3 linked regions of the Drosophila melanogaster genome follow. The gene in region 1 interacts genetically with each later gene. Each region holds a gene or a part of one and is shown in the gene's direction. Other genes may lie near its edges.

Region 1 (10,541 bases):
CAAGCAACTCCTTCTGCCCCGGGATCTACCTAAGCTGCTCCTCCATGTTCTGTGCATCATTTGTAAATGTTTTCAGCTGTGGATCGCATTGGGCATGGCCAAATTTCATTAATATTCTGAGATTTCAGCTCGGCATTTACTTGAAAGCGGAAGAATTACTGACAGTCTTTGAAATAGTTGCCTTGAAAAATATATATAAGGAATTTACTATAAAGGATTCACGTAATTATACGAGTTGTTTCGTAATTTAGAACATAAACAATCTAAATGTTAAGTGTCTTTAACCAAAGTTTTTCCATTTCTGTAAATTTCGAAATAAACCTATTTTAGCCCAGGCCGTCTCGAACCCGGCAAATAATTAATTTAGTTTTTCACTAGCTCGCCTTGTCCACGACCACTGCCAGTTTTTAGTGGGTTTCCGAATGCCGAATGACTGTTGGCCACAAAAACCGTCGAAAACTTTGCAGCAGACGAAACAAAAAAGAAGTTAGGAGAGCGTCGACGAGGGGCTAACACACTCCAATGTATTTGTATTTGTGTTTGTATTCGTATTTGTGTTTCTGTTTCTGTTTGTGTGGGAGCTGGCCAAGAACCCGGGAATTGGCCGAAAGTTGATGGGACAACGAACCACTGTGCAACACTGTGTGGAGGGCCTCCCCATGTAGTGGGGATTTATCGATCTAGCTGGCCGCGCCAAAAACTCCATTCATAAAAACTTGCACATTGTTTTGCCACAAAGGGAGGGGAGCTGGATATGGAAGGGGGGCTTTGGGAAGCCCAGAACAGGAGTAGGCAGCAACAGGGCGAAAAAAAAAAAACGGCCATCAATGGAGGCAGCTCCTCTTGGTTGCAAGTGCAACGGCTCCTAGTTGGCGAGCTGGGGCATTTCCCCGCCATCCCGTCTCTGTCGCTGTCCCAGTGTTTTTGTGTTTTTGCCATTCGGTCGCTTTTGGTTCGGTTCGCTGGTTCGACGTTTGGGCCCGCTCGGTCCCGACGTGTTTTTTGTTGGGTGTCATACAAAAACATTTTGCCGCCAAACAGAATGGCTAAGGCAGCTCCTCCTGCTGCTCCTCCGGCTCCTGCTGCTGCTGCTGCTGCTGCTGCCCAACCTGTCAACCGCCTTCCCCCTGGACTCGTCCCACTCTCTGCTCCTTCTCCACCAGCGATGCAAACTTTGCGAATCACTTTTTTGGTTGCATGACCAACGCACAGCACAGCACACCGTGGGCTTGCGTAAGTTCGGGCTTAAAGTTTGGCCAACGCGGCGTATGAGCAATGTTTAAAGGGTGCTACCTGACAGAGTTCAGTCCACTCACCTGACAAACAACTGCTCCTGATTGTTTACCCGCCAGGACACGACCGTCGCACCTGCAAACAGAAGGTAGGCAAATAATTCGGTTTATTCGAATAATATTTACAACAAATATTTAAAAAATACATAAGGAATGCTGTGGAATAATAACTAAAGATGTGCGGATTTCTAGAAGGATATAGGGACTACATGTACTAATCAAATAAGAAGAAATATATATCAAGAGGTATTAACTATGCCCCCAGTAAATCGAGTTCAATTCAAGCTTTCAGCGGAACTTAACTAGTTTTCAGTTTTGTACAATCGTACTATGATATAGTAAAGTTAAGAACTAGAAATAAATGTAATATAACTATGTATTAATAACTAACTATTAATAAACACTTATTTAATCTCATTTTATTGCATTGTCGTTGAAATTAGTTTCAGTAACATCGGAACTTGTGAATCAATGAATGAATTCGAAGCTGGATCAACTGTGGGAATTGCACAACAACAACCTAAAAAGCAAAGTACATGACGCACACACTTCTAACCCACATGGCTAACACATACAAACACACACACATACGCGCACACTTGCACGCACACAATCGCAGAGTAAGTAACTGGCCTGTAAGTAAACTAACTGGCTGAGACCGAATCTCTGGTACAGTTAAAGACTGGGATATGGGTTGGTTTTGGTTACGCTACGGGTATGGATCTCTGGGCATGACGATGGCCTACGGCCAATGGGTGGGTGAGCACTTGGCTGCGTGGGAGGAGCTGCTGCTATTCCCCAAAATCTCGCTCAGTTGGCCCCAATGTGCGATGGGCTTTCGACAGGCCGTAGCCACTGCTCTGGCACCTTGATTATTATGATTGGAAACACTTTGGTGTCGAGTTTAGTTAAAGCTCCTCCGAAAACTAATAATTAACATTGTTCGAATTACATGTGATAAGATACACTGAAAGGAAAACAATGCATCAGTTTAAGTATATATCTTAGTTTTTCACAGGCCATTTAATTGAAGAGGAAGAGTAAGTGGAACACGAAAAATAATCATATACATGGGATCATATAAATATCTTTAAGAAAATCATTGCAAGTGAATTTAGTAAAGATCTTTAATCCTTAATGCCTTAGCCACTGAAACTCTTTCCGATAAGAAACTATGAAGATCTCAAGAATTTCCATTAGATATATATGTAGTTATTTCTTCCGGTGTACGATATGCTGTCTGTTCCAAACGCTGTTGTGTCTCTGGCCGTCTGACTGTTGCTCAAACGGCTGCGACTTGGAAAGCAACGTGGGCAGCCCAGACACAGGCAGTCGTAATTGTTGAAAGTACGCTGGGTACACCAGTGCCAGCTCACATACATACATATGTACATAGGTGCTCATAGAGAGGGACCTGTATACATATATGTACGAACCATATACATATATATGACGCCTAATCGAAATGTGCTGCGAGTAGGAGCCGCATCGATCCGATCTCCAAGATCCAAACTCCAAGCTCTAAGCTTTTCCAAAACCGAAACCCAACTGATCCCCAGCGATTGGATCGAGTGGGGGCATATATGTACATATAGCGCCTAAATTGCGACGATCTCGGCTGATAAGATAGCAAAGGCCCTCTGGCTGGTGCGTAGAACAGCGAAAGGTAAAAACAAGGTTATTTCCAGAACGAATTGATAACCTCCAGAGGTCGCGAATACATCGAGAATAGGGGGCGAAACGGGTTTCGGTTTCGGAAGAGTCTAAGCGCCAATCATCCGCTAAAAATAACGCCAACAAAATTTTGGCAAAGTGCTGGTGGTGTCTTCTTAATTATGATTAATTGTTCGCCAGCTATTCATTTGTTGTTTATCATTGTTTCAAGACATTCTGCTCACCGTGCAAGTTGATGGTGCAGGTTGTATTGTTTCCGCGATCCAGAACAACTACACTCGTTGCGGCCATTGCGGCCGCTGTCGTGGCCATTTTGAATTTTCCTAACGGTAAAGGTATATCCGGGGGATCGTTTGAGATCCTGTGTATGTTTGTGTGCGTGCCTGCCTACTGAGGGAGTATATCTTTGAAAAATTGGGTACGAAAAGAAACTGTAGCTCCGTGGCACTTAAAGCAAGGCGATCTGGTTTCGTACTCAAAACGGGCGTCGATTGAACTTTAATTTGCGCATTTACATAATGTTTGCAAAAATTATTCTGCACACAAAGCACCGCACTCACACAGACGCGCCAGCACACACACACTCACTCGCACACACACATACACACGCACGCACAGAGCGCAGCTTGAGTTTTTGTCAATGAACAAATACGTATGGAAAAAACTCGTGCAAAAAACGTTCGGGCGAAAAGCGTCACGACCCGGACCTTCGATGTTCTGCCAACGAGCGACCGATTGAAACTAAACCAGCTTGCGCCAACTGACCGCCTTCTGTTACCGGCCCATGTTAAGCTTTAAAATTAGCTTTATGTCCATGGTCGACGAGGGAGTACTCTACCTTAAAATTATATTTTTAACGTATAACTAAGTATTTACTGAAGTGGATGATATTACCACATTATTCACGAGTTTATGGTTTCATATAAGTTCATTTTTTGCTTTAATTAATGCATTTTTAATTTAAATATTTCTTATTCTCAAAGGTGTGATAATAAAGAATACATACATAGAACTCTCCAAATAATATTGAAAGTATTTAAATTGTAATATAATCTTAAAAACTTTAATCAAAATTGCATATAAAAATCTAATTATTATTATTGTTTGTGACGATCATGTACTCTGTCAACCAAACTGCGCAGAAGCTTTGTGAATTGATCCGCTGCCTCGATGGACTCTGATTTTTGTAGGGGACACCCTAAAGCCAACCATGTTAACGCATAAACGAGCAGCAGCTGATTGGAAATCGGACCCATTTGCGGTTATCGATAGCCAAGACAGCGTTGTTGTCCAATCAGAAAAGGTGTAGGCGCAGCGGAATAGCATAAATAAAATCCGAGAGATGTAAGTTGCAACTTATTTGTGCAGATACAAATGAATCTGGGCAGGAATACCCGAAATTAGCTACGTTTTCCCGTAATACCCGGTACGATTACTCATTTCCAGCAATGTTGAGGCCGCGAAGTGTGGAACAGAGATAACTAATCCCACAAGCAAGAAGAAGAACTGCCCAAAAAAAGAGCCAGCGGATTAATAACATTATAGCACCGCACCTGAGCGTACAGAACATCCCAACGAAATGTCGCGCAAAATGGCCAAATTCTACAAGCTGGACATCAATCGCACCGAGTGGGAAATCCCGGAAACATACCAGAACCTGCAACCCGTGGGTCAGGGTGCCTACGGCCAGGTCTGCAAGGCCGTGGTCCGCGGAACCAGCACGAAGGTGGCCATCAAGAAGCTTGCCAGGCCCTTCCAGTCGGCGGTCCATGCGAAGCGCACCTATCGGGAACTGCGGCTGCTGAAGCACATGGATCACGAGAACGTTATTGGTCTGCTGGATGTCTTTCATCCAGGACAGCCCGCCGATTCGCTGGATCAGTTCCAGCAAGTGTACATGGTGACCCACTTGATGGACGCCGATCTGAACAACATAATACGCACGCAGAAACTGTCTGATGATCATGTCCAGTTTCTGGTCTACCAAATCCTGCGCGGTCTGAAGTACATCCACAGCGCTGGGGTCATCCATCGTGATCTAAAGCCATCGAACATTGCGGTAAACGAGGACTGTGAGCTTCGCATCCTGGATTTCGGTTTGGCCCGTCCCGCAGAAAGCGAGATGACCGGATACGTCGCAACGCGATGGTACCGGGCGCCTGAGATCATGCTCAACTGGATGCACTACAACCAGACGGCGGACATCTGGTCGGTGGGCTGCATCATGGCTGAGCTGCTGACTGGGCGCACGCTGTTCCCTGGAACCGATCACATCCATCAGCTGAACCTCATCATGGAAGTGCTGGGCACGCCAGCTGATGAGTTCATGAGCCGCATCTCCTCGGAGAGCGCTAGAAACTATATTCGTTCACTGCCGGTGATGCCGCGCCGCAATTTCCGCGACATCTTCCGCGGTGCCAATCCGCTGGCCATCGATTTGCTGGAGAAGATGCTGGAACTTGACGCCGACAAGCGCATAACCGCCGAGCAGGCGCTGGCCCATCCGTACATGGAGAAGTACCACGATCCAACCGATGAGCAGACCGCCGCGCTCTACGACCAGAGCTTCGAGGAGAACGAGCTGCCGGTGGAGAAGTGGCGGGAGATGGTCTTCAGCGAGGTGACGGCCTTCAAGCCCACAGCCGCCTTCGCTGAGCTCCTGCCCAAAGAGCAGTAATCCCGGCCGCCATCCCTCTCCGTTCAATGATGCTATATACAATTAGAACAGTCTTTTCTACACCTAGTTCAAGCGGATGCGCTCAGTCGTGATTTCTCTACTCGTCGAGTGTAAACAATCGGGGATATTTATTCTAGAGCGATTTATATTTAGAAACTCTTCAGTGGCTGGATTTCAACAATTTGTTTTGACCACAAACGTAAGGTGAAATAGTATTGTATTTTCGAACCTTCGATTTGCATTCGATGGATATAGAAATAGCGATTGAACTAGGTGCATGCCTGAAATGTAGCCATTCGGAAATGTTTCCAAAAATCAATCAGAGTCACAGCCTTAATGTCCAGTTCAACTTTAGATTTGGTGTCGGTTTTAACACGCAGTTCTTGTGAATAATCCTGTAAATGTGAGTGTACATGTACATCGTAGTTCGTAAGCGAACGCATCTAGCGGCCAGTAACTATAAAAAAGAGCACTAGTGTCTACGTTGAATCCAAATAAATGTGCTATGTATTTTAAAAAATGAGATCCTCTAGATATCGCTCGAATTCCTGCTCTCTGGAGGCTTGCTCTCGGCTTATATCGGGTTGTTGTTGCCAGATCTGTTCGTCTGCCGTGGTGGCATCCTTTGAGTCTGTGGGCTCCTTGCTGGCTTCTGGATGGGATTCGGATGCTGGTTCGACAGGCTCCTCCTCCTCTTCGCCAGAACTTTCGTGACCAACATCGAGTTTTCGACGCTTACGTTTCTTTTCAGCGCGCCGTTCCTCCTTTTCCCTGCGTCTCCGCTTCTTGCATTCTCTCTTCTTGGTGCGGTAGTTCAGCTGATCCGTGTGGGTGGGACACAGCCGCACCTATGGAATTCCCATTAGTGACACAATCGCGGAAACCCATTTGGAACCCACCTTGACCAGCGCATTTAGGGGCTCACCCTTTTCGATATACCTAAAGTTTACCTCCCAGCTGCGCAGATTATCCCGCTCCCCGCAATGCCGGCTGCCGCACTGGAACTGCCCGGTTCCGGTGACCACCTCCTGCTCCGTTCGCCAGCGCAGCGCTATCTTGTTCTCCTTGTAGCGGGACAGGTCCGCGATGCAGTACTCCTTAAATAGCTTCCTGTAGTATCGCAGGGCCAAGCGCTGCTCCCAGCTTAGGGTGTCGCTATCCAACTCGTCGTCCTCCCACAGGAAGCGGTGATTCTCTCGGATTACATCGATGTCTCGCTTGTGCCGACGTGATTCCGTCTCATTCGGTAGGTTAAGCACGTAATTACTAAGTATATAGTTGTGTCGCTCCTTGGCACTCAGGTTGTTCAGATTCACTGGGAATAATTGCGAGCCGCTCATTATGATAAAAAATTTATAATAAACAGACTTCGATTTCAGGGCACTGCCTATCGATATATCGAAGACTGTGGTCCTACTCTGGCTATTTTTACGCTATATATTAAACGATAAATAAAATGAAGCTGCAAAATTTAATCACAAATTGAAATTATTCCAACTGAATATAATAAATAAATTTTAATATATATTATTGTTATTAACCAAAATAAAATGGCTATAACAAGTTTAGAAGAATGGCCCGTAATGGCGAAACTGCATGGTATTAATCTTAGCCAATACATATACTGTTTACACACTGTGGAATAAGTTAAATTTCTTACTTTAAAGGTACAAATTAAGAGTTCTTTGCTTAATTAAATGCAACTTTTTATGAAATATAATTAAACAATATTTATTTTACTTATAAATCAAAAAAACAAATTAAAAATGTGAAATATACAAGAAAATAAAAAACAAATTCCAAGTTTACACACTTTTTAAAATTATTTTATGACCCCCATTGGCTTTGGCTACGAGTAGACTGTACACTTATCAGTAAACAATAATTATTTGTAGCGTTCCTCCGTTTTTTACTACAAGTCCAATGTTATTGAATTCATTCCCACAGTGACTCAAGTCTCAGGAGCGGGTGCGGTTCCCATTTCGATAAGTATTACTATCGACGTTGATAGAGAAAAAATGCCATTCAACAAAGCAAAGTAAAATTAGGGAAAAGTTGATGTTAAACAGAAAATGGCTGGGACTTTTACCCCGCTGTTCTTCGTCTTTCTGCGGAAGAATTTGCTCTACTTGCAACGCAACTTGCTGCCCCTGCTCCTTATCTGCTCCGGATTTGCCGGAGTACTCACCGCGTACCTCCACTGGTCCGTCAAGCCCGTGCTTCACCAAATTAACCAGTTTGAAGCAAAGAATGAAGTAAGTTTCCCTCGCACTGCTACTTTATCTGCTTTTTATATTTGTACATACGTATGCATGTGATAACAAACCTGTGACCACACTAATCCTTATCATTGGACTTCAATTTATTTATTAGATGGTTCTTAGAGAATTGTACTTTCCCGGTAATGAGCTGGATTACATTTACTACTCACCCATCTCTCCCAATGTAGAGGACATTATGGATCTCCTGCGTGTAGATCTGGGAATTATACCAGAGCGTAAGTGCATTTCCAAATTATCTCATAAATTAGATATGTGGAAAAGTTTGTATGGTAAACGTAAACGTTTCCGACCATATAAAGCTTATATGTACTTTTGATAACGATCATACAAAATAACATACAAAATTCACTGCATATATTTGCGATACTATCTTCTAGATTGTATTTAACAATATTTCATTGCGCAGGACTTCGGCCCAACAACAACAGCTTCGAGATGCAGCTGGAGATGGAGCAACAGTGCCGTGGAAGCTGCTTCGCAATTGACTTCCACCGGGTACCGAACCGTGGCTCTGACAGAAAGTTCCGATACAGCCTCAGCTCAAATCAGATGCGCATTTCGCCCAGAAAGCGATTTGTGAACGACGAGGAAATTTATCACCAGATAGGTGCGTGTTCAATTTTTCCATTGTTACCGTTTAACGAACCCGCATGTTGGTTTTTGTTTATCAGATGATGATGATTATATTCGTTCCGGATTCCTGTCCTTGCAACACATATTGGACAAACAGTATATGAAATACCAGGAGCTCGGGAAAGACTTTGAGGTGGTGGTCAGCTCGATGCCCAACATGGAGGTCATCAGCATGGATAGTCATCGATTGACATATTTCGGAACACTGTGCAGCATTCTATTCAATGTGGTCCTACTAAGCAGCTTTGTGGTGCCCTTTGTGGAGGAGAAGCAAAACGGACTGAAGGAGTTTCTCAACCTGGTCACGCCCATGAGTTTCCTCAACGGCCTCACTTTCTTTCTCATTCGGTTTGTGTGCTACACATTGCTTATGATCTTTGTCCTGGTCGTTGCATATTTATACAAGGCCCTGGGCTCCATCTGCTTTGCTTACGTGGCAGTGTTGTTTCTGCTTTACATTTTGTCAACCATGTCGTATGCTTATCTGATCTCTATTTGCTTCCACTCAGGTAAGTAATTACATTGATATATTCAGCAAAGTTTACTAATCTTCTACATAACTTACAGTTTTCTATGCGAAAATCGGAGGGCTGGCAATGCTAATAATTCCCTATGCATTCTCATTTGTTCGAAGCTGGGCCACATCGCTGGCATTTGTGTGTTTTAGCACGAATACCTTTCTGGAGGGATTGGATATTTTTCAGACATTTTCAAATAAGCGTAAGAGTTTAAATTGGTTTTTAGTAGCTTAACATTTAAATTTGAACACTGGCTTTTTTTGAAGATCGCGAATTCGGTGCTGTGGATGTATTTCGCGTAATCAAAAGCAATTCCTCAACGATGTTTTCGGTCTACGTGGTTCTCGTCTTTCAATCCTTTTTGTATGCCATGCTCTACAACTATTTGGGTTGTGTTTTTCCCGGTCCTGGTGGACTAAAGCGACCGATGTTCTTTTTCCTAGATGTAAGTACTATTTCCGAAGTCCGAACCAATGATATTTAATGTCGGTATCAGATCAAAATTTTCGCTCGTGTGATATATTTTCTTATCTCGACATAAGCTTCAATTCAGTTCGTATTATAATTTTATGTTCATTATAATCAAGTATGAGATCAGATGCAGTAAGACTCTTTATTTCAATAGGTTACTTTGATCGAATCTTGTTTATTGAAATCGGTTAAAATGTCCTTTTTACAGTTCCGTATCGGTTATCGGCTGCATAACCAAACAGGGTTAAATTAAGAATTTTCTTTATTCTAAACCATAGCCCAAGACTTACATGAAACGACAACGCAACGAATACACGACGACACCGCGCGGCACTCATGCTATCATAATCACTGAGTTGTGCAAGAAGTTCCAGACAAGCAAGCGCGATACGCTAATTTCGGACAACTTGAACATGACGATCAACAACAAGGAGATTACTGTCCTGCTGGGCCACAATGGAGCTGGAAAAACAACCATGATGAACATGATAATGGGTAGGGACTCAAACTCAATTCGCTTCCTCGGCCATCCAATGCACATGTTGATTCTCTTTCAGGATTGGTACCAAAGGATTCGGGCAAGATAATTGTGTGCAGTGAGCGCGATGTGGCCTCCTATCGCCACCTGATTGGATTCTGTCCGCAGCACAGCGTTTTCATGAGCTACATGACATGTCACCAGCACTTGGAGTTCTTTGCCCAGCTGCGGGGAGCTTGCCGATCCGATGCACGCGATTGGGCAGATGAGAAACTTAAGAAGCTGGGACTTAGCGATAAGCGAAACGAATTCGGCAAGAATTTGTCTGGAGGCATGAAGAGGCGTTTATCACTGGGTATCGCCATTGCCGGTAACACCAAGTAAACTTAAGAGATATATTGCTTAAAGATATTCGGTTTAAAAATCTTTGTTTAATCTCGCAGAATCGTAATCCTTGACGAACCATCATCGGGATTGGACATTAACTCGCGTCGTGAGCTGTGGGACATCCTACTT
Region 2 (10,541 bases), on another chromosome or scaffold:
TCTCCCCCCGAGCAGCATCCCAAGTCGCTGCGTCACTTGTTGAGCCTTCAGATGGCTCACTGTTCCGCCACCCTACTCCTTGGATTCCCCACGCATCCAGTGGCTTTGTTTGCGGCTTCGACGAATGTCGCTTTGCATCAGCTTACAAGATTTATGGTATCCTTTCAACTTTAAACCCGCTCTGCTCACTTGTCGTCTGGGACTCACGCAGCAGCTTCTCGGTTATCCAACTCGTTATCTGAGTTCTTTTAGTCGATTTTTGCAGGGGGTATGCCGCACATGTGCGGACCCCGACTTTGCCACCGATTTCTGGGGCTTCTGGAGATTCTAGTGATTCTGGAGTTTCGGGGCGGGGGGCGCGAACGGCGCGATGCAGGAGGTCAACGTGGTACGCGTGTGCATTGAACTGAGCATCATAAATCGCTGGCGTCACGGACGCGTTTTCGCAGCTCGGAGTTTTGTCGTAAGCCGCCCCTTCCGCAGTGCCACCCAATTTTCTAATTTCCATTTTCGTATTTTTCCGCCTCTTTGCAGATCAATCTTTTGTACCTGTTGTGTCGACAAAATTGCTGAAAGCGAGCTCCCCGAAGAAGGTGAGTCCTTAGAACCTGTTTTGTTTTTCGGCTTGTTTCACCTTCTTATGAAGCACGTGCCTCGTATTATGAAGCTGGCCAACAAACACACACGCACTCGTGCGCAAGTTTGTGTTTGTGTGTGTCTGTGTGTGTGGGTGCAAGGCAAATATTTACACTCAATGGAACATAATAAAGACATTAGGGAAATATTGTGTTATGTGGGAGCATAACTCAGGTTCTGTGGGTGGAAATTGTATAAACTTATCAGGCCGCCGCCACCCCCTCGGGTTTTTCTTCTCCTCGATTTCTCTCCCGCTGTGTGTGAGTGTGTGTGTGTGTGTGCGTGCGGGACACTTTTCTTTATTGCTCTGCGAGTTGTCAATTTCCGTGTGTCTGCCTGTCTGCTTTCCCACCAGTTTTTCCCATCCCTCTCTCTCCAGCCAGGATGCTTGGTATTGTTTTCCACGAGCTCGGTTTTTGTTGGGTAGAAAAAAGGAGAAGGTAGTTTGGTTGTCGAGTGTTTACATTAGACTGCACATTAAACAGCAGTCGCTGCAGTTTTTTATAGGCAACAAGTTTCCTACTATACAATCTCGGGAATCACAATAAACAGTGTTTCGTAGTAATATTTAAAACAAATTTTCGGATGAATTTGTTGTTTACTTGACAAGGCAAGAAGCCATGACAGGACTAAGTTCTAAATTAACTTAAATTTTGTATTTTTAAATACTAGGACTTTATTAATTGTTTCTTGTTATTTTCGACCCTACTTAATCCCATGGATTCCAATTGTGATGCACGTTATTTTTAGCGTACTTTCCTCCCAAAAAGCGTTATAACAAGCTAAAATGTAACCTAAACCGCTTTTCAATGCCGTGAATTAGAGCAGCGGAGGCCAGCAGCTCACTCCCACTCAAAGTTTAGTTTTCCCCAGTACATGAATGTTTTAGTGTGTTCCCGAGTTTGCTTCAGTGTCAGCTGGGATATGCATAAATAACATTGATTGATATGCCACCCACTCGAAATTAGTTCGCTAGCTATTCCGAATGTTTCAAAATGATTACCCAACTCACTGTCGCTCGCCGAATGATATGACACTTAGTTGATACTAAAGCACACACTTTATAATTCTATCAATGGGCCAACTTATGAATGAATGCGAATTCAGTTTGGGGGAACTCAATTAGCTCACCTTGAATGTATGTCATCAGTTTCAATTATAAACCTTTTTGCAGCTCGTCCTTGCCCCAAAAAAAGAGTTCTCGCATTAAATATGTGCCATTTTCCCAAACCAGCTCGAAAGGAAAAGTGTGAGGAGTAAAGAGATAAAAAAAAAAAACAATTTGGTAACAAGGGAAAATGGTCAACGGTGACAGTTTTGCGGACGGCAGGTCGTTCAGTTCAGGATGTGTGCTAAAACAGTTGAAAAGTTTTCTATTTGCCGTGCCATGCTAATTGCACGTCGGGATGACAGTCGAATCCAATTAGAGGCCAGTTTTCGCATTCTAAGCCAGTCCAAATGGAAGGTTAGGCATCCGTTCTTCTTCGCTGGGAACTTATCAGTCATGCAAACAGAGAAATGCTTTCACCGTCGTATCTCGTATCCGAATCCGAATCCCTCGATCCTTCGCCCCGCAATGACACACGTGTTAAGGTGGAATTATTTGGGCTGACATCCAGAATCTGTAGCTAAAAGAGGCATCGCCTCTGCGTGGGCGTTTAGCATTGGGGAAAATTGATTAGATTAGGCAAAATTCGACGTTGTCGAAAAGGAGGAGCGGTAAGAGGAACAGTAGCGTACTTAAGCTGGCATTTAATCACATTTAAATTGCACTCAATGCCCGGGGAAATTGATTGAGATTTTTATGAATTAGGGAGCAAGTCGGAGACCTAAGCCCGTTTAAGTCGAGCAATTGAAATGTAATTAGGCAATGCTAATGGCGACACCTACCCCTCTCTTTTGGCAGAAAGTCGACCAGCTCCCCGGAGACTTTTCCGAGTCGAAATCACTTGAGCTGAACTGAACTTCAATTGCTTTTTTTTTCGGGGCCCAGCATTTGCATAATTGATACCACCGCAGACATTTTTCAATTTCGAAATCTCGACGAGCAATTAAAAAGATGTTTTTCCTGTAATTCCGTATGCTTACAACCCTCCGGATACACTTGGAGCTGTTCTACTGCTGGGTATCTGCAAGATGGGCATGGCACGAAGGGCAATTTGAATGAGATTTATGAAATTACCTACGCAGCGTTTACAAAAACATCATCGGCGGAGGGCAGTGGCGTGGAGATGAGTTTCACGTGGTTTGGCTTGTCTTGGCTTGGGGTACTCAAAGATCCCCCTGAAGAAACCCCTGCCAAGCAGTTAAAGTCGGACTCAACGCACATTGAGGCCGATGCTGCTGCTGCTGCTACTGCCGCAGATGCCGCATGTTGCACATGTGTTGAGTGCATGCAACATGCAGCATCAACCGTACGGCGCACAGCATCGGGGTACATGGTCATGCGCAAATCGCCGGGCGGCGTTTATTGAATTAAGACTGTCGACGACTGTTTGCAGTTGGCAGTTGTCGCACCCAGTGGAAGCGTTAAAAGTCACAAGGACACTGCAAACGGGAATCAGAATGGAAATGGAAATGGAAATGGGAATGGTAATGGGAGTGGAAGTGAGAAAGGGATCTTCGGATATACACACATGGATCGTTTGCTGCTGGGTTCGGTTCTCAAAATGCAACATTGTGGCGCCGCCGAGAGGCGAGGGCCATAAAACGGGTAACTTGGTCGCGCTGCACTTGGTATCGGTTATGCGTGATTTTTACAGAATCCATTCACTCGACGGGGCGGAGCAATATCTGCGGCATCTGGCATTCGCATATTACTCGGAAAGTCACGTTAAAGTTGCGTCCACTTAACTGCAACTGCAATATGGGCATTCCTTAAGATTTCACCTCCCTTAATGTCCTTTTGTCTGTGTTTTAACTATCACTCCAGTTATTAAATCGCAACTTACAGTAAACAAGAAAATCTTTTAATATATTTTCTTATTGATTTAAATGCCATATGGTAATGGCTAATCACTAAAATTCTCGCTATTGGAAATATTTTTATTATGTATAAATAGACGCAAAATCATTTCCTATATGGGTTAGAACTATAGATGGCTGGAAAGTAGCCACAGCTTTTATTTGCCTCCCAGATGTGGACTAATCACATACAACGTTCCCAATTTTCCTGCTTTTATAAAAGTCGATTTTTGTAATAAACTCTATTGGGATCAAGTTGGGGTACATGTATCCCTACTTTATTATCTTTTCGCCTACATAACCTGCATAATAGAGCGTGTTTAAGGTAAATAATATCTCGCTTAACGCAACAATAGACAGGGTCTGGGTCACAGGGCTTTGGATCCCACTTGGCTGGCTGGCGGTCCGATTCACAAATTAAGCCCCAACTTCAGCCATACAACTACTTTACCTCTGTCTGAATAGGCAATCATCAATCGAGCAGAAACAATGAATCGTTGGTTGCCGCACACCCTAGGATCCTACGGGTCCTACTCTTTGTCCCTTCCGATTCCTTCCTGTTTGTTTTGTGTACCCGCCAGCAGACGAATTACAGGATATGTTGTATGTTGTATCGCACAAAATTAGGTAACAAATGAAAAAAGGATTTACGCTTTATTTTTTCTGAATCAAGTTCAACATTCTAGTTTACGTTCACATCGGAGCTAAGAAGCTAAACAGCTGTCACAATTCCAAAGTTAATATAACCTATTAAAAATGAAATTAATTTTAATGATAGTTATATCATACTTCGCGTTTCTAAAAGGCGTAACCACAGCCAGTAAGTATGCCCCATCTTTTGTAACAGGGTATCGAGTATATACTTACCTTTTTTTCTACTGCCAAACGCAGGTCAACAAAGTTTTTATTAAGCTGCGTCGAAGGGGAAAACTAATGGTGGGTGGGTGTTTATAGAGAGGATCCAGTGGCAAGGACAAATAAATAAAATACACACAAAAAAAAAACCAGATAGTGGGCAAAGCGGGAGGGGAGAGGTCCTGGCAGGGCAGGGAGATACGGATACAAAGGAAAACGGAAACCAAAGCGATGTTTAGCAGGGGTGTAGTTAATGGGGGTGGTGAAGTGGGGGATAATTAACATTTATGGGAGGTTGCCAGAGCGGGACAACAAGCTCGGCGAGGGAACTAACTGTAACTGTTGCTGATTGATCAAGTGTGTGGGTGAGTGTGCGTGTGTGTGTGTCTGGCTGGGGCACAAACAAAAACCATATGTTTCTCGTTCGACTCCCGCACGCACTCACTCACAAACCGAATTACTCACTCACCCCCACCAGCCCCACACTCTAACCCCCCGCCACCTCTCGCTCACTCTTGCTTTCGTTGTGAGTAGGAACTCAAAGTCAGCGGCTGCGCACTCTCTCCGTCTCTCCCGCTCTCCGATTGCCCGGCAATGTATGTGTGCGATATTCTGTTACACAAAAAGGCAAAAACAAAAGGCACCGTTAGAAGGTGTGCGCGTGTGAGTGAGTTCACCACGAAACGAAAATCCTCACCGCCAGCCTACGTATACGTGTTCGTTGCTGGCTGTGCGTGTGTGTGTTAGTGTGCGACTGCGAGAGAGCCTGGCGCAGTGCAGCTGTGTGCGGGCGTATCTGTGTGTGCGTACTTGGCGTTACGACGTCAACGACGGCATATCCGTCAGTACGTTTGTACGCGTCCGCAGCGCCGCTTCTTCAGTTTTTCGGTTTTCGGGATTTCGAGATTTTGAGATTTCGATTCGATTCGATTTCGGCAGATCAGTTTGCGATCCGTTTGCGAGTTCGATATTTTCATTCCGAGCCAACGATCCAACGATCCGATTCCGCTAGCGATTCACAACAGATAGAGATCCTATATCGAACGCCGCGAGAAATTATGCTGGCCCGCTGCTCTCGCACTACGCGCAATAATTTATTTTTACTCCATATAAACAAATTCAACGTCTATTTCCAAAAATAAATGGCAACAATAATAAAAATAACAACAGCCGTCGGACAATTATAAGTTTTTATTTTTAACTTTTATTTGCGCCAACCGCGGCCGCGACATCCCCGCCCCCGCCTGCCCGGACTTTGTTTATATTTACAAAAAGCTAAAGCACACGACAAACACAACAGCAAACATATCACTGACTGCATTTCGCCCCGATGTTTATCGAACGAGCGGCGTAAACAAAGCCAGAATTCAAACAATAATTCAATTTGCATCTCAATTGCAAAGATTTTCGTGTGTGTGCTCGGAAACATTTGTGCAAACACCTCGCCAGCGACCTGACATCCCCAGAAAAGTTCAAAACTCGTCGGTTTCTATTGAGTAGTGTATTTTTGAGAACATTTTTTCGAGAAAACGGAAGCTCAGCTAAAAAGCGATTCATGTAAGTTTATCTACTGCAATGAGGAATGTTTTTGGTTTGAAAACTAGTTTTTAAAACCAAAGTACCTTTGCGAAATGGGTAGAAAGATTTTCATTCTTGTATTAAGAATAATTTTTCCTGTTTGTGATAACCATTTGACTTATATTTATGAGCGTCATAAAATCCAATTGAATGCCTCATTACATTATAAGTGATTTTCGGTTAGTCATACTTTTGAGACACATTGTTAAATTAATTATAAATTATGAATTATAAAACCTAATTTTGGTTATCATATCCACCTTTGCTCATTGAGCTATTATTCCGCCCAAAGGCTTAGTAATTATTTACAGATCATCGATGGGCTGTAAACCCCTCCTTTCATATGCCGATAGGGCAATTTGATTATATATAATTTACAATTACAAAAACACTGGCAGCCGGCATGTCGGGAACCAAATAAGCAAGTTACCCATGCACACTGACGTCATCGCTGAGCCAAACGTTGGGATTCCGAAGAAAAAAAAAAGAGATATCGGCCGGGTTTTCGAATTGTGCCTCGCTGTCTTGATTCCAGTTCAAACAGTTCCCTTTCAATTGATATCATTCGATGTTTCAATTTCTTTTCTTGCGATTTAATGCTGAGAGTAGCTGCCATACACTCGGACGGGCGAACACGCACACACAAATACTATATACGTTCCACTGATAAGCGATTTTCGTATCAATATTGAGGGCCCGCGAGAACCGTACTCCTCCGGCGAAGTTCAAATCCATTTCCCTGCTATCAAGTTCTTTTGCATGTAGTTTTTATGGCCGACCGACCGACCAACCGACTAACTGACTGATTGACTGGCTGGCTGGCTGGCTGGCTGATTGGCGAATTTGCTGATAATTGTCTGCACTTTGTTTCAGCCAGCAGCAAATGCACAGAGAATTATATTTTCTCTTATCTCGCCTCAGGCAGCTGGACATGCGTGCAATGCACTTTGACACCTACGCAGGATCATAAGGGGGGTCGCGTGGGAAGGGAGTAGGGGAATTTCGTTTCGATCCAGGGAGCAGTGGGTTCAAATAACAAACAAAGCCATTCGAAGGCGATAATCACCGCAGATTTGCCGTGGACTTAGCCACGGCGATCGCCGATAAACGATTACGGTCATTCGGCATTGCAGAGCCTAGATAACGGGACCCCACCTCCGATCACGTTCACGTTCGGACCATCATCACGACCATCATTAACCTCCGAGATCTTTAACACTATTTGGTGTAGTCACGTTTGGGTCGCGTTTGTATTTTAAGTGTTCCATCAATAGAGAAATTATAATATTATTTATTTATTTTCTTTTTTGTATTTTAAGTGTTCCATCAATAGAGAAATTATAATATTATTTATTTATTTTCTTTATTATTTCATTATTATTTATCTCATTCTATAACAATTTAGTTATTTCCAATACCTAAAGCTTCATAAGTTAAGCGAAAAAATAAATGTTTTAACTGTTTTTTTTTTTTGGATGCCTTTCAATTAGTTTTGAAATTCAAAAATGACACACGATTCTGAAAAACTGCAAGTAAAATAAAGAATACAATCCATGAAGGAAAACCCACAAACGACATCTTATCAGGTCAAAATAATTTGTTGGCAAATTTTCAACGAAAAATAGTTGAGTTACGTTTGTTGTTGGCGTTTTCGGTGCTTGATAAAAAATTCGAAATCAAAATTTGTTTTATTTGCTCGTGTTTTTTTTTTTTTGCGGCCACTATCTGCCATCGAGAGCGAGAGTCTTTCTTATCACACGTGCGCATGTGAAGGTGCCCACGCTCACTGACAAGCCAAATGAAGCACAATCTGGTCGATGTGTTGGTGTAGTTATTAAAAAAATAAATGTTCCTTTGCCATTTGCCGTGTTTGCGGCTCTCGAGTGTCTGTGATAATTATGGTTATTGCCGCCGCGCTCCCCCACATATATTGTATATAAAAATAAAAATAATAATAATTATTATTATTATAACGATTTCTTTCTGTTTGCGCCTGTGTTTTGGTTTAGCTCCCTCCCCCACACTCCGCCCGCTTTTGCGGCTGTGTAGGTGCTGGCGATAAGATAGAAGTGCTCTAGGTGTACTTCTAGGTGACTCGGGGCCCGAGAACTCAAATTTGTTCGACTACCTTAACATGAGACGCGTGTTTCGGGGCGAAAAACAAAAACCTTGGATTCTTTTGCTTTTGCTGGCATTTCTGCAATCGAAATTGTTGATAAACGCGGTGCAGGAAGAGAGCCAGATATCGCGGAGCCAATGCGATTGCTTGCAAAAATATTGGAAATCGAAGTTTGCCGATATTTCACTTGCTTCAAACAGGCACATTTTATCTCAAAAGCATTTATCATTTGCCTTTAGCATTTACCACGAGCGTCGTATTCACAAAGTGTGTGTAAGTTGTGGATAATATTTTATAATATATAAATAATATACTAAAAATAGATGTAAATGTTAATAAGATATGAGGTAGTTTGAATTGAAATGTAGATTTTATGACAAGTTCATTTTAGTTTCTCAACTCGTCAGTTTTTAAAATCTATTCTTCAAACGCAATCCTATCCTCATCTCTTCGTCCCCAATTGGTATTGATGGCTATCCCCAGCATCTTTGCTCGTAATTTACAGTTCTAAACTCAACTTCCGACCGCCCCCGAAGACTACAAAAAAAAGTTCCGCCTCATTGGCAGTACGCAATGAGTCGTTTTCATCGCGTCTTAAAACGCGCGCGCGTGTCTTTAATTAAGTCAAGATTTATAACCGGGGTCCCAGGAATGCGTTAACTGCGGCACATTAACAACAATAACAAAAGTCGGGGACATTGACGGATCTGATCTGGTTGATGAAAAGTGAAAGTGAGCTGCGACCAAGGAAGTCAAGACAGGCCGAAAAGAGCAGAGCTAGTGAATTAAGAAAAATTAACAAATATATATCTAGAACACTCACTGGTCAGGCCAACGTGCGTATAAACCCACGGAATGGTTATTATTTGAAATTGAGGTGATAAATTCGGAGTTTTTTAAACTTGAAATTTGGCCGGTCAGCAGCCATAAAAACGGAATTTATGAAAGGTCTCTCGTTCGCGATCTCTGTCGCTCTAATTGAGGCTGAAAGCTCCAGACGGTGAGAGATTGCATTCAGATCGGCTCATCTCATTGCGATCGCAACTGGTTTTTGAATCGGTACGGGGTTCATTCCTCCAAAATACGGAAAAGTTTAACATTTGCATAAATTTGGCCGCAACAAATGCTAATTGAGCGCAATCAAGGCGAGCAACAAGTTTTCGCCTTTTAATGCCTGCTCATCGGAGAAAAAGCCGCAGAGCGTGATTCACTAAATCAAATCGATAATGTCCCCGCCTTTGTTGGTCCAAACAATTAGGGAAAGCGCAAAAGTTGCTAAGCAGAAGGCTTCCCACCCAGTCCGGTCCAACAGAGAAATTGAGAGAAACTGCAAATCAGAGGAGCTGGGCAAAACACCCACGTTCTTGAGATTTGTTCTTGGCCATTTGCCTAATGATGCCGTCGCAGTCTTTGGGCCAATTAAATGGTGAAGCTGGCAAACGTGTGGCGGCAGTTTGCTTCGTTTTAATTGCCCGGCCACAAGACAAATGTCTTGACACACATCCACCAATGGAACAGACTCGGCACATCCTTCCTACCTTCCTGCCTTCCTTTCTTCCTTCATTCCATTCGTCCTGCTGGCATCCTGCTCAAGTGCCGCCTTTGCCGTTGACCCAGTGAAATGCAGCAACCGCAAATGGTAGATTGTTGCAATGAAAACCGTGTTAAGTTCTTTTGTCCCCGGGCCACGGATGATTCCGCACATCCTTTGTTTTCTCGCCACATTCCGTTGCGGTGATTAGTCTACGTAGGTCTCTTCGCCCATTTCTCTTAACTTTTTAGCCGCAATTAGTCAAATATTTCTGCTGCCATTCTCGATTGTTTTCGCAGAGGCCCACACCTGCACCACTTGAAGTGCCGCTTGACTAAACAAACACCAGTGTATGCCCATTACTATACTATGTATTCCCCGCGAACGACGTGACCAATTGATTTATAAAGAGTTTTCGGAAACTTGAAATTCTTGCCAGATTAGATACTAGTTGAGTTGTTCGTGCTACCGGCCGCACAAAATGCAGATCTCCGATAAAACGATCAGTACGATTAGTATGATTGATGATTGAGTGGGAAGCGAACTCTACTTGCATTTGTCTATTAGCTATTAGACGTTACCTACTGCATGAGCTAAACATATGCGCTGAAAAAACTCCCTAATGTCTTAGATACTTTGATTAAAGATAGCAGCTCACCGAAAAACTCCTAATGCCACCATAATCGCGAATTGCTTTTTACTCACATTGAAGTAATGAATATAAATATAATTTGCTTTCAATATCTATAAATATTCTGTCTGTTTAAACAACCTCGCCTCAACTGCAAACGGCTGACATTTAAAAACACCCCACGTTTGTCTGCTTTTCAGCAGTAGCCAAAGCAGCGGGAGTTTAAT
Region 3 (10,541 bases), on another chromosome or scaffold:
TTCCCATCCGATCCGATCCGGTTAACTTCCACACGAGATAAAAAAAAAAGCCAGCAGATATTTCTTCAAACTTAACGTTATTCATCAGAGCCAACTTGCACACACACACACACACACACACCATAATCTTGGCTTGTTCTGTTTTCGGTTTTCTCTGTTTGTTTCGAAACAAACCGGTTAAACGCTTTTTGCTTTTAGCAAAAAAGCAGCAGCAGCGGCGAGGGAAAAAGAACAGCACATAAAACAGAAACCGTTTAAGCGTACAATAGGCGTAGATAGCTAAGTTATAGTGGGTTTGGTGGAGCCAAAGGGGGCCTGGGGGGCAGATTGGGGGACGGGTCAGATTGACTACAACTAATTATCAACCCCAACGACGAATCGCGCACAGCTGTACAATGCAATCAGTTCAAATCGCTTTATTCTCGGCCTCCCATTTCCATTCGAAACATTTTTATCACCAATCGAATACTGCTCGGGCAAACATTGTAAGCATTTTTTTTATTGTTTTTGAGCTCTTATCAGCGGAGGTAAACCGGTTTCGACCCATTTCGTTTCACAGATAAGCCCAAAATGAGGAAACACCTAAACACAACACCAGAGCATGATAAACAAAACTAAAATCTAATCTATTTAAAGCCGAAAATAATGCAATAATAAACTTTCAGGTTAAATAAATTTGAGACCTAATTGAAACTAATAAGGATCGAATCAATTTGGTACAAAGAAGACAAAATATAATTATTATGCTTTATATATCGTGATGTAAATTATTAAGAAATGGTAGATATGTTGGGTTGTCTCTTCCTCATCATCTGTTTAATTCCCCAACTAGCATCGTAGTTAATTATGTATGGTTTGTTTGCCATTTTCAGAGAAAAAGCCCAGTAAAATTCAACTTCGGGTTTTAGTTAGTATTAATTTAAACAAATGTGTTAAATTACAGAATTTGAGCCAGCTTAGCTATGAGTAATTCGACAGCGTATTTTATGTGCATGTTTGCATAGCTTTCAAAGTTTTCAACTTTGTGTTCTGTTTGCTTTGGGTAATTAGTGAATCAGTTCTACTACATATTTCCCAAAGAGGAATACGTATAAATAAAACACATAATATGTATGTATAGAACATCGTATCGGTTTACAGGCTGATAACAAACTCGAACCGAGAAACGTGACTTGGAGCGGTCAGTAAGTCCACGAAACTCGGGCTATTCCAACTATTTGATCAAGCTATGCAAACATAGGCATTGGGAATGCACGATGCAACCGAGTTGCTAAAATATAACTCAGTAGAATGTTAAGGTCATTAAACATCTCAATGTTATCGTGCATCCATGACAAGCAGTTAGTCATGAACATAATTCGTATAGTAATTAACTTTTAGTTATGAATCTCTAAAAATATTTCAACGTTTTAAAATTGAAGGTTTATCAAGAGCAATATTATATACATATGTACCCACGTATACATTTAATATATGTCCTATGAGACTTTCTTGAATTGATAATTAGAAACTAATTTTCCATATTTTAATATACATTAATTTTCATTTTGTTATTCCATTAAAGGCCAGTGCTCTGCAGCTTAATAAAAACCATGTTAAAGCAAGAAAAAAAGCTTGTGATTTATCTTCGGATGAATGAAAATGAAAAGGAATAATCGTGTTCATTGAGCATCACCTTTTACCGTTAATTAGATGGCGATTAGACATGAAACACCGAAATTCTTCGACGAGCGTGAGAAGCTTTAAAGAAGAGCTTTGCGAAGGAAGAATGAACGAAAGAAAGACGAGAAGGCCGAGCAGCTGTTATCAAGAAAGTAACTGTAAATAAGCCACCTGTAGACATTTCGCATGCTCCAAAAAAAAATGAAGCGAGGCAACATGCCTTCCCTCCCTTTTCTTTTCTGTCTGTCTCTCAATATTAACGCTTTTGTTCGATACTTATGCCCACACTTTAATTAAAGCACGCACTTTTTTATAGAAAATCATCGAAATATTCAGCTTTGCTTCACTTACCTTGAGATTTTGTCCAAATATCTCGTTTCTTTGTTTGGCCTCTTTGTTGTGGTCCTAAGTACCGTTTACTGTTATATATTTATTGTAAACTGGCTGTGGTTGTTGTAATTCCTTGCAGCATTGCTTTTCACTTTACTTCACTAATGCACACACACACCACACACTCTCATATATGCAGAGATAGAAATGGGGAGACCATACACGAACGAAATTTCTCGTGCAGCAACTTTTTCTCTCTTTGCTTTCTTTCTTCTGCTTTATCTTTTTTTATTTTGTGTAAACCAGTATTTTGTGCCTTCTTTCACTTGTATGCTTTACGATGTTGTTGTTGTTGTCGTTGTTGTTTTATTCAAGAAATTGTTGAATAACGGTTTCTGTTAGCCGCTATGCTTTCGTGTTTGTTGTTGTTGTTGTCTTGAATTTCACTTTGCTTTCGCGTTTCACGCATTGCTGCTGCTTCTTCTTCTACGTCGCCGTCGTGTTGCTCCTTTTCGTATTTTACATTTTTTTTAGCCGTGGGAAACCTGTCCAGCAGCCTTAAAGCCGCTGTTTTTGTTGCTTTTCGTTTTTTGGCTAAACATTTTCATTGCTAAAAGAGCACTTGGGACTTTTATTTTCATAATTCATTTATCGCGCTGTAGTTGTGCGTATATTTATAAAGATAAAAGCAAGCAAACAGCGCAGCAAAATTCCAAATAAATAAAATTATTGTTGCTCAACGTTCATTGCCACACACACTCACACACGGCCAGACACTCACCAACACCAGCAGACAACGAGTCAGACACACACACATGCATACACTTTTTTTGGGGCAGCGTTTTTTGTTGTTTCAAGGCAACTTTATTTCTTGACTCTTTTTTTTGTATTTTCCTCCCCCGCAGGGAAACAAAGAAAATTTCACTTGTCTCGCACACTCACACCACGAAGCGCGCACACAGACACGGTGCCTTTCCCAAAGGAAATATTATTTAAAACATTTATTGACACAATTACAAGGTTTTTGCTTCTTTCGCTCGACGTTGTTATTGTTGTTGCTGTGGTTGTTGCCGCTTGCTTGCTTTTTTCTTGCTGTTGTTGTTGGCCTACTTTGTGTGTTGTTGCTGTATTTTTTCTCTCCTCTTTTTTTTGTTGCTCCAACTTCTCTCCTTTGCTTTGCTTGAAAAAATTTCACACGCGCCGTTTCTTTTTTTGTCTCTTCTCTTTACGTAAATTAGATTGCCATTTGAAGTTATCTTTCGAGGGATTGCACTTGGTATTAAGCTATATTATACATATACGTGTTGCACTACATTATATTTATAAAAATTATGTGTATTCGTTTGAAATTTTAATTGTGTTTTTATAAAAAGAAAATCAGACGAGACGAACGTATGAACAATGAATGACAAAAAATAACCTGGGTTTAATGGGCTAACATTTCGCGTCCAACAGCACGCTGAGTGCTGTTCGGCGAGCAGCTGATTTTGCAGTTTTCGGTATTTTCAGTATTAGTTGGTATAATTACAGTTTGATTTGAATGTGGTTTTAGGGTTTTAAAAAATGTGTTTTTAAACTCATTTTAATTGATACAACCAACAGAAGAAATACAGTCAATTTTCAAACTAACTGATATAACATAAGTATTTCATGAACATCGAACACGCCAATAATTAGATTATTGTCAATTTTAAACGAATAGTTTCTTCATATTAATTACTTAACTGGCATTACAATAAGCCACATTTAAATTGTGAGAAACTGTGACCATGTCAGTATGTTTTTAGATTTTATAACATTTAAAAAAATTGAATTTGTTTATTAGTTAAATGCATTTTATTTTACGCCTAATTTTGGTATATTTCAGCAATCCATATGTGGTCACACTATATGTTTCCAAAGTGGCGGGACAATTGGCTTCATGTTTCGTTTTGTTGCGTTTGGAAGTTAAAATGCCAGTGTAAGCATTGTTTTGTAAGCCCGAGTTGTGGAGAACTAGGTGCATGATCTATTCCAGATGGCCTCCATTGACGAGGGCTCGCGCGTTGAGCGGAGATTCTGCGCAGTCGGCAACCACACGCTGCGGAAGCCGTATCGCCAACTGAACAACAAATATTTGGTGCGCTTCGCCTGTTTGCTGAACAGCGAAATTCGGGCGGGCAACCTCATCTGCTGCAAGTGCTACACGGACCTGGTGCGACTCTACCGGAAGAAGAACGACAATGCCAAACGGCACAAGATGGCCAGGGAGACTGCCGCGAGCATTACGGACGTCAGCGGCAGTCAGTCATCGTCGCACCAAAGTGCGCCCTCTTTGCATGTCTCTGGCCAAAGTTCCGAATTCGGTGCCTCATACAGTGAGGGGGGCATTGTGACTCCCGATGAAGAGCTGTGCTCCCACAGAAGCTTAAGTCAAGATTCAGACAATGTGCCCACTACCAGCGCTGCAGCGATCCAAAAACGCCAGCTTGCGAGGGCAAACCTAATGGTGAAACCATCGCAGAGGCTGAGCTTGGCCCAGACTACTCCGGATTGCGACGACTACGACCCCAACTCGAATCTCAGTTTGAACGCCGTGAATGGCACGCGACTGCCGCACATTCAGCCGATTCCAAAGAGGCGCCCGACCGTCCTGGACAAGCAGTCCATGGATATTTACTTGATGGGAACCACAGGTGGTTAGGTGATTTTTTTAAGTTGTGACTAGAGAACAAGATACATATGCTAGTTGATGCTAGTTTCTAAGTTTCATTTAATTAGATATTTTTGTACGCTAAAATAAAGAAAGACAGAGATGTTAGCTTGGCAGGAGCCACAGAAAGATAGCCGCCATTTGGAGATTTCCTTGAAGTTTATAATTTTAACATGTTTAATGATATTTACATATATTATATGAATGAAGTACATTTATTTTAAAGGCACCACTGGAAGAGGTTCACAACTTAAGAAAAAAAGAGGCCATAGATATTTATTTGGCAGGAGCACCAATAGATAGCCGACTTAGTTTATAACTTAATGATGCCGACATTTTCATGAAATTAAAAAAATAAATAACTTAACAAACAGTTTAAATTTATTCACCTTTCTGGGCAGCAAATGGAGCGAAGGTACTATAAATTATCAATAATAAATCTTAATGGTGTTGGGACACGTTTTTAAATGGACAGTGCAAAAAAAAAACTTTGAAAATGAATTTCATACTATTTAAATACAAATATGAATAATAATGGATATTATGTAATATTTAAGCGATATATTTCCAACTATAATCGAAATATCGATATCTTCGGCCCACTCGACAACCCTGAGCAACAACAAGTACGTGGTGCTGGGCTATAAAAACAAATGGAACTGCGCTGCAGTTGCTTTAGTTGACAGAATTCTCGACGCAGTCACAGCAAAAAACCGAAGGCGGCTAGAAATCAACAACTTTCCAGTTCGAGTGTTTCTAAATTCTGGTTATCCCGTTGAGCAAATATCCTAAATTTTAAGCAAAATGGCTGGACGCGATGCGGCTTCCAATCAGTTGATTGACTACAAAAACTCCCAAACGGTGAGTGTGTTGGTGTGCGAGCGCGAGAGAGCGCAACTGCATGTGTGTGCGTGTGTGTGCCGGCAGGAAAATAAGAAAACAAGAAAGGCAAAAAAGACAAAAAGAGAAGGGAGAAGCATTGTACGAAATGAAATAAACAAAAAACAAGACAATTTCAGTAACGATTGCTATGAGCCTGTACTTTCCATTAATTCCATTAATTATTAAAATGCGAAAAACAACAAAGGCTTGTCCAACAAATGCCAGTAATGATGAAGTCGTTTCCCCAGAGTTCGAAGTTCAAAAGCCGCCTCTCTGGGTCTTCTATTTATTTGTAGAAATCTTATCAGAAGTGAACTGATAAACCTTATCAGTGTGGCAATTCTTATTGGATTTGTGTTTTCTGTACCTAATCCAAAGTTAATTTTATTTTCCCTTTTATTTTTATTTTCCTTCTTAAGGAAATCCAAAGTTTAGTCTAGCTAACCTATTTTCTAACCTTGGGCGACCTCTTACCTTAGTCTATTTTCATTTTTCAGCGCTGTTTTCACTTAGCACTTCCAATTTCATTTGGCACTTGCATTGTGCATTGGATTTGAGTATTCGAATTTGTTCGTTTGCACTTTTGTGTTAATTATTCGCTTTCGCTTTTGGTTTAGATTAAATGCATGATTTCAATTGTGGAATCGTGCCCTCTTAAAATTTTGAACAAATATTGTTTGTTCACACTCGGAAAATTGTACTTTCCTAAATTCGTGGCATTCCACAATTGCAACATTTTATACACTGCAATCATTTTTGAAATCAAATATGCTGTTACATTTTATAAAAAGGAATGAAATATAACAAAATCAATAGTAAGCCTCACCCATAGATACTGTATCTATATATAATTTACTCGGCAATTTCCCTGTGGTTTTCCCAATGCCCTCTAAAAATCGATAAATGAAATAATAATTCTGCATAGCTATTTGTCAGCCAGTTGATAGGCATCCAAAACAGCTAAGTAATTGGCCCAAATAGATTAGATGTATCAGCCGTATAGATATTGTTGAGTGCCCACATTTGGTTAGTAACTAAAGTAAATTTCCATTGGATTTCGATACTTTGTAAGTATGAATTGTCAGTTCTCAAAGAATACAATCATTTTTTGTTTTTTAATTTAGTATACCTTTTTTTTACCCTATTCAATTAAGGCTAAATCTAGAACTTAGTTCTCGCATCAGCGATTTAAGTGCATTTGTGCATTGAGTCACGAAGCCAATTACTCCACTAACTAAAAGCAATCAGCGGTCATTATTTTATATAAACAAATATAGATATGAACTTTTTGAGAAACGCGATCGCTGGATTGCACCGCTTGTAAGTTGGAAAATTCGTTGGGAGTCAATGGACTCTGCGGCGACCGGCTCAATGTTGCACAAACTGGTTGCAATGCGCATCGACTGCGAGTGATTCGAGTGACAACGAACCCGGCTTTAAACCCGTTTTGGGTTGAGTGCGGAAGGCTAGACCGCTTCGGAAAATGCGTGTGCCAGTGCCATAAGTCAACGCAAATTTTCTTTCTCCAATTTGGTTATGCAACCTGGCTGGAACGCCCGGCTAAAAGCGACTGTATGTGAGAATATGTTTCGAACTGACCCAGAAAAGAGAGCTAGCTCCACAGTTGGTTGGTTGGTTCGTGTTGTTTTAGTCGATTTTGACCTTCTATGACGAAACTGTGAAAACTGCATTCTGTCAGGCAATTAAATGTTTGCCTTTGTTTCGGTGAATAATCATGGCAACTGGGTTCTTTGTTCTTTTGGGAATCTCGCAATCGAGTTAATTTGTTATCCAAGAAATTCGAAAATGCAAGGAAAATACTTGGAATATTTTGCAACGCAATGCATATTGCGTAAGGTCATTGTGAGTCGGTTAAGAACCCTATAAAAATCCTTATTTAAAATCCTTTAGCTTATTTTCTATGCATTCTCATTCTCGAATGAGTAACCTTCTGCTGATAAATTATGTCTAGAAGGCAAATTTATCTCATACTATCAGGTGCACTGATCTTATAAAGCCGCCTCATTAAGTTGCTGTTTGCCATCTTTGTGTCATTGGCATCGCCAACAAGTTGCAATTAAAAACTTTCCTGTAGACTGTGTTCTTTGCATTTCTATTCGAGATCGGTTGCGGTTCTCTTATCAGTTTGCTCTTCGCTGGAGATATCTACAACCAAATACATACATACATATATAAGAACGAAGGCTCTGATAGGAACCAGATTGACTTGTTGGACGTGGATCGCAGTTCCAGCGGTTCCACTCGCATTGTCATTCCCGGTTTGCTTCACTTATCGTATCTGCCCCCTGAAGTGGCCCCATATTAATGTCTCAAAGTGCAAAACATTCCGGCTGAATCGGCCGAATCTAAAGGGTGACTCCAGTATAAATTCCAGAATGATAATTTCGAAATTATATTCATTTCTTCGTTTTTATGTAGCGCTTTTTGTTTGTCAATAAGTGGGTATACTACTGGCCTGTCTAAGCTGATTTTATTATTAAATAGATACATATATACTTCTAGGAACTAAGATTTGATAAAGTCAACTACTAATTCCTTAAACAATTGTAAAAGTCTTAGTGCCCAACCGGGTAATCCCAACCCAAGTGCTATATGTATCTAAATGACTTTGTTGTGAAATATAAACAGTAGCTTAATTTATATGTTTGACACACCACCACCACCACCACCGGTGGCTTCACTTTGATAAACAACCTTCTGTATAAAATTCTATATGCATTGTTCTAGAAATGCTTTCGAATTAGAATTTCGCATGGCGTTGTTCAGGTTTCAAATACATTAGCTAAACAGTGCGCATTGGCCGGTGACAGTTTTGCAAATTGTTGGCTGAGTTAATTTTATAATGAGTGGCTGGCCTGCATGCGAAATAAACGATAAGGTGATTAAGGAGCGGTCTCGGATTACTCTAGGGAAATGAATTGAAAACAAGGAGTATGATTAGATCGACTGATAAATGACAGGACAGCTGGTGGGCTAATTGATATTTCAGATGGACAATACACTTTTATTAGCTTAATGGAATGAAATAATTAATTGATCGCCAGCTAATAAACTGTGTAACATCATTTTGATGTTTGAATACTTTCATTTAATTGGTTTTTTCCTTGCACACGGATTTGATATCTTGACATGTTAATGCAAAAAACCCATACATCATCACTATATTAAGGCCTCAAGCTCTTAAGAACACCTGGGATCTCTTATTTTAAATTTATATGCACTGCAAAATGACCCCCCGTGTAGAGATAACGCTCTGCAATCTTTATGTTAATGTTTTTTTCTTTTGGTGAAAATCGAATGATTAAATGAAAGTCCGCGGGCCAAAAATGAATTATCGCAATAGGCCCGATAAGATTGTAAGACACTTGAACCAATATATTGTTGCTGAATGTTGCATAGCATTTTAAAATTAAAATACATTTGATTAAACTTGACTTTCATTTGCTTTTGCAGGTTTCTCCTGGTGCCATTACCACCGGCAATGGAGCACCCATTGGAATCAAGGATGCCTCCCAGACGGTTGGTCCGCGAGGACCTATCCTGCTGCAGGATGTGAACTTCCTGGATGAGATGTCGCACTTCGACAGGGAGCGGATTCCAGAGCGTGTCGTGCACGCCAAGGGAGCTGGTGCTTTTGGTTACTTTGAGGTGACCCATGACATCACCCAGTATTGTGCCGCCAAGATTTTCGACAAGGTCAAGAAGCGCACTCCACTGGCCGTGCGATTCTCCACCGTGGGTGGTGAGAGCGGATCTGCGGACACCGCCCGCGATCCTCGAGGATTTGCCGTCAAGTTCTACACTGAGGATGGCGTCTGGGATTTGGTTGGCAACAACACGCCGGTCTTCTTCATTCGCGACCCGATCCTATTCCCCAGCTTCATTCACACCCAGAAGCGCAACCCGCAGACGCATCTGAAGGATCCGGACATGTTCTGGGACTTCCTCACCCTGCGACCGGAGTCCGCTCACCAGGTGTGCATCCTGTTCAGCGATCGCGGCACCCCCGACGGTTACTGCCACATGAACGGCTATGGCTCGCACACCTTCAAATTGATCAACGCCAAGGGCGAGCCCATCTATGCCAAGTTCCACTTCAAGACGGACCAGGGCATCAAGAATCTGGACGTGAAGACCGCCGATCAGTTGGCTAGCACTGATCCGGATTACAGCATTCGCGATCTGTACAACAGGATCAAGACCTGCAAGTTCCCCAGTTGGACGATGTACATTCAGGTCATGACCTACGAGCAGGCCAAGAAGTTCAAGTACAACCCCTTCGATGTCACCAAGGTCTGGTCGCAGAAGGAGTACCCTCTGATTCCTGTGGGCAAAATGGTGCTGGATCGCAATCCCAAGAACTACTTTGCTGAGGTTCGTTTTTTTTTTTTGTTTCAAATAGATTCTTCTTCATTTGAGATTAATGCAATCAAAAGAAAGATAACTAATATGGTAATTTTCTGACCCTCAGGTGGAGCAGATCGCCTTCAGTCCCGCTCACCTGGTGCCCGGCGTTGAGCCCTCTCCGGACAAGATGCTGCATGGTCGTCTGTTCTCCTACTCGGACACCCATCGCCATCGCCTGGGACCGAACTACTTGCAGATCCCGGTGAACTGCCCGTACAAGGTGAAGATTGAGAACTTCCAGCGGGATGGAGCCATGAATGTGACGGACAACCAGGATGGTGCCCCCAACTACTTCCCCAACTCGTTCAACGGTCCCCAGGAATGCCCCAGGGCCAGGGCCTTGTCCTCCTGCTGTCCGGTGACTGGAGATGTCTACCGCTACAGCAGCGGCGACACCGAGGACAACTTCGGCCAGGTCACCGACTTCTGGGTGCATGTGCTCGACAAGTGCGCCAAGAAGCGTCTGGTGCAGAACATTGCCGGCCATTTGAGCAACGCCAGCCAGTTCTTGCAGGAGCGGGCCGTCAAGAACTTCACCCAGGTGCAC

Evidence for each region.
Region 2: of p38b (region 1) and Mef2, changing one suppresses a phenotype caused by changing the other (phenotypic suppression), as found in Drosophila melanogaster (one study listed by BioGRID).
Region 3: of p38b (region 1) and Cat, changing one suppresses a phenotype caused by changing the other (phenotypic suppression), as found in Drosophila melanogaster (one study listed by BioGRID).

Annotation. Positions count from the first base shown.
Region 1 is NT_033779.5:13,776,455-13,786,995, forward strand, and holds p38b (p38b MAP kinase), read left to right. Parts: upstream 1-4,234; 5' UTR 4,235-4,310; intron 4,311-4,412; 5' UTR 4,413-4,545; coding exon 4,546-5,643; 3' UTR 5,644-6,155; downstream 6,156-10,541. Other genes in the region: CG9008 (uncharacterized protein), read right to left, coding at 1,317-1,368, 3,191-3,278; CG16890 (uncharacterized protein), read right to left, coding at 6,156-6,491, 6,543-6,983; Eato (engulfment ABC transporter in the ovary), read left to right, coding at 7,716-7,898, 8,017-8,140, 8,332-8,532, 8,597-9,067, 9,126-9,284, 9,343-9,521, 9,826-10,042, 10,105-10,405 and 1 more.
Region 2 is NT_033778.4:9,924,371-9,934,911, reverse strand, and holds the start of Mef2 (myocyte enhancer factor 2), read left to right. Parts: upstream 1-5,296; 5' UTR 5,297-6,012; intron 6,013-8,042; 5' UTR 8,043-8,425; intron 8,426-10,541. UniProt on the Drosophila melanogaster protein: Transcription factor that could be a key player in early mesoderm differentiation and may be required for subsequent cell fate specifications within the somatic and visceral/heart mesodermal layers.
Region 3 is NT_037436.4:18,817,298-18,827,838, forward strand, and holds the start of Cat (catalase), read left to right. Parts: upstream 1-5,306; 5' UTR 5,307-5,488; coding exon 5,489-5,545; intron 5,546-9,040; coding exon 9,041-9,961; intron 9,962-10,058; coding exon 10,059-10,541. Other genes in the region: HipHop (HP1-HOAP-interacting protein), read left to right, coding at 4,010-4,675. UniProt on the Drosophila melanogaster protein: Catalyzes the degradation of hydrogen peroxide (H(2)O(2)) generated by peroxisomal oxidases to water and oxygen, thereby protecting cells from the toxic effects of hydrogen peroxide.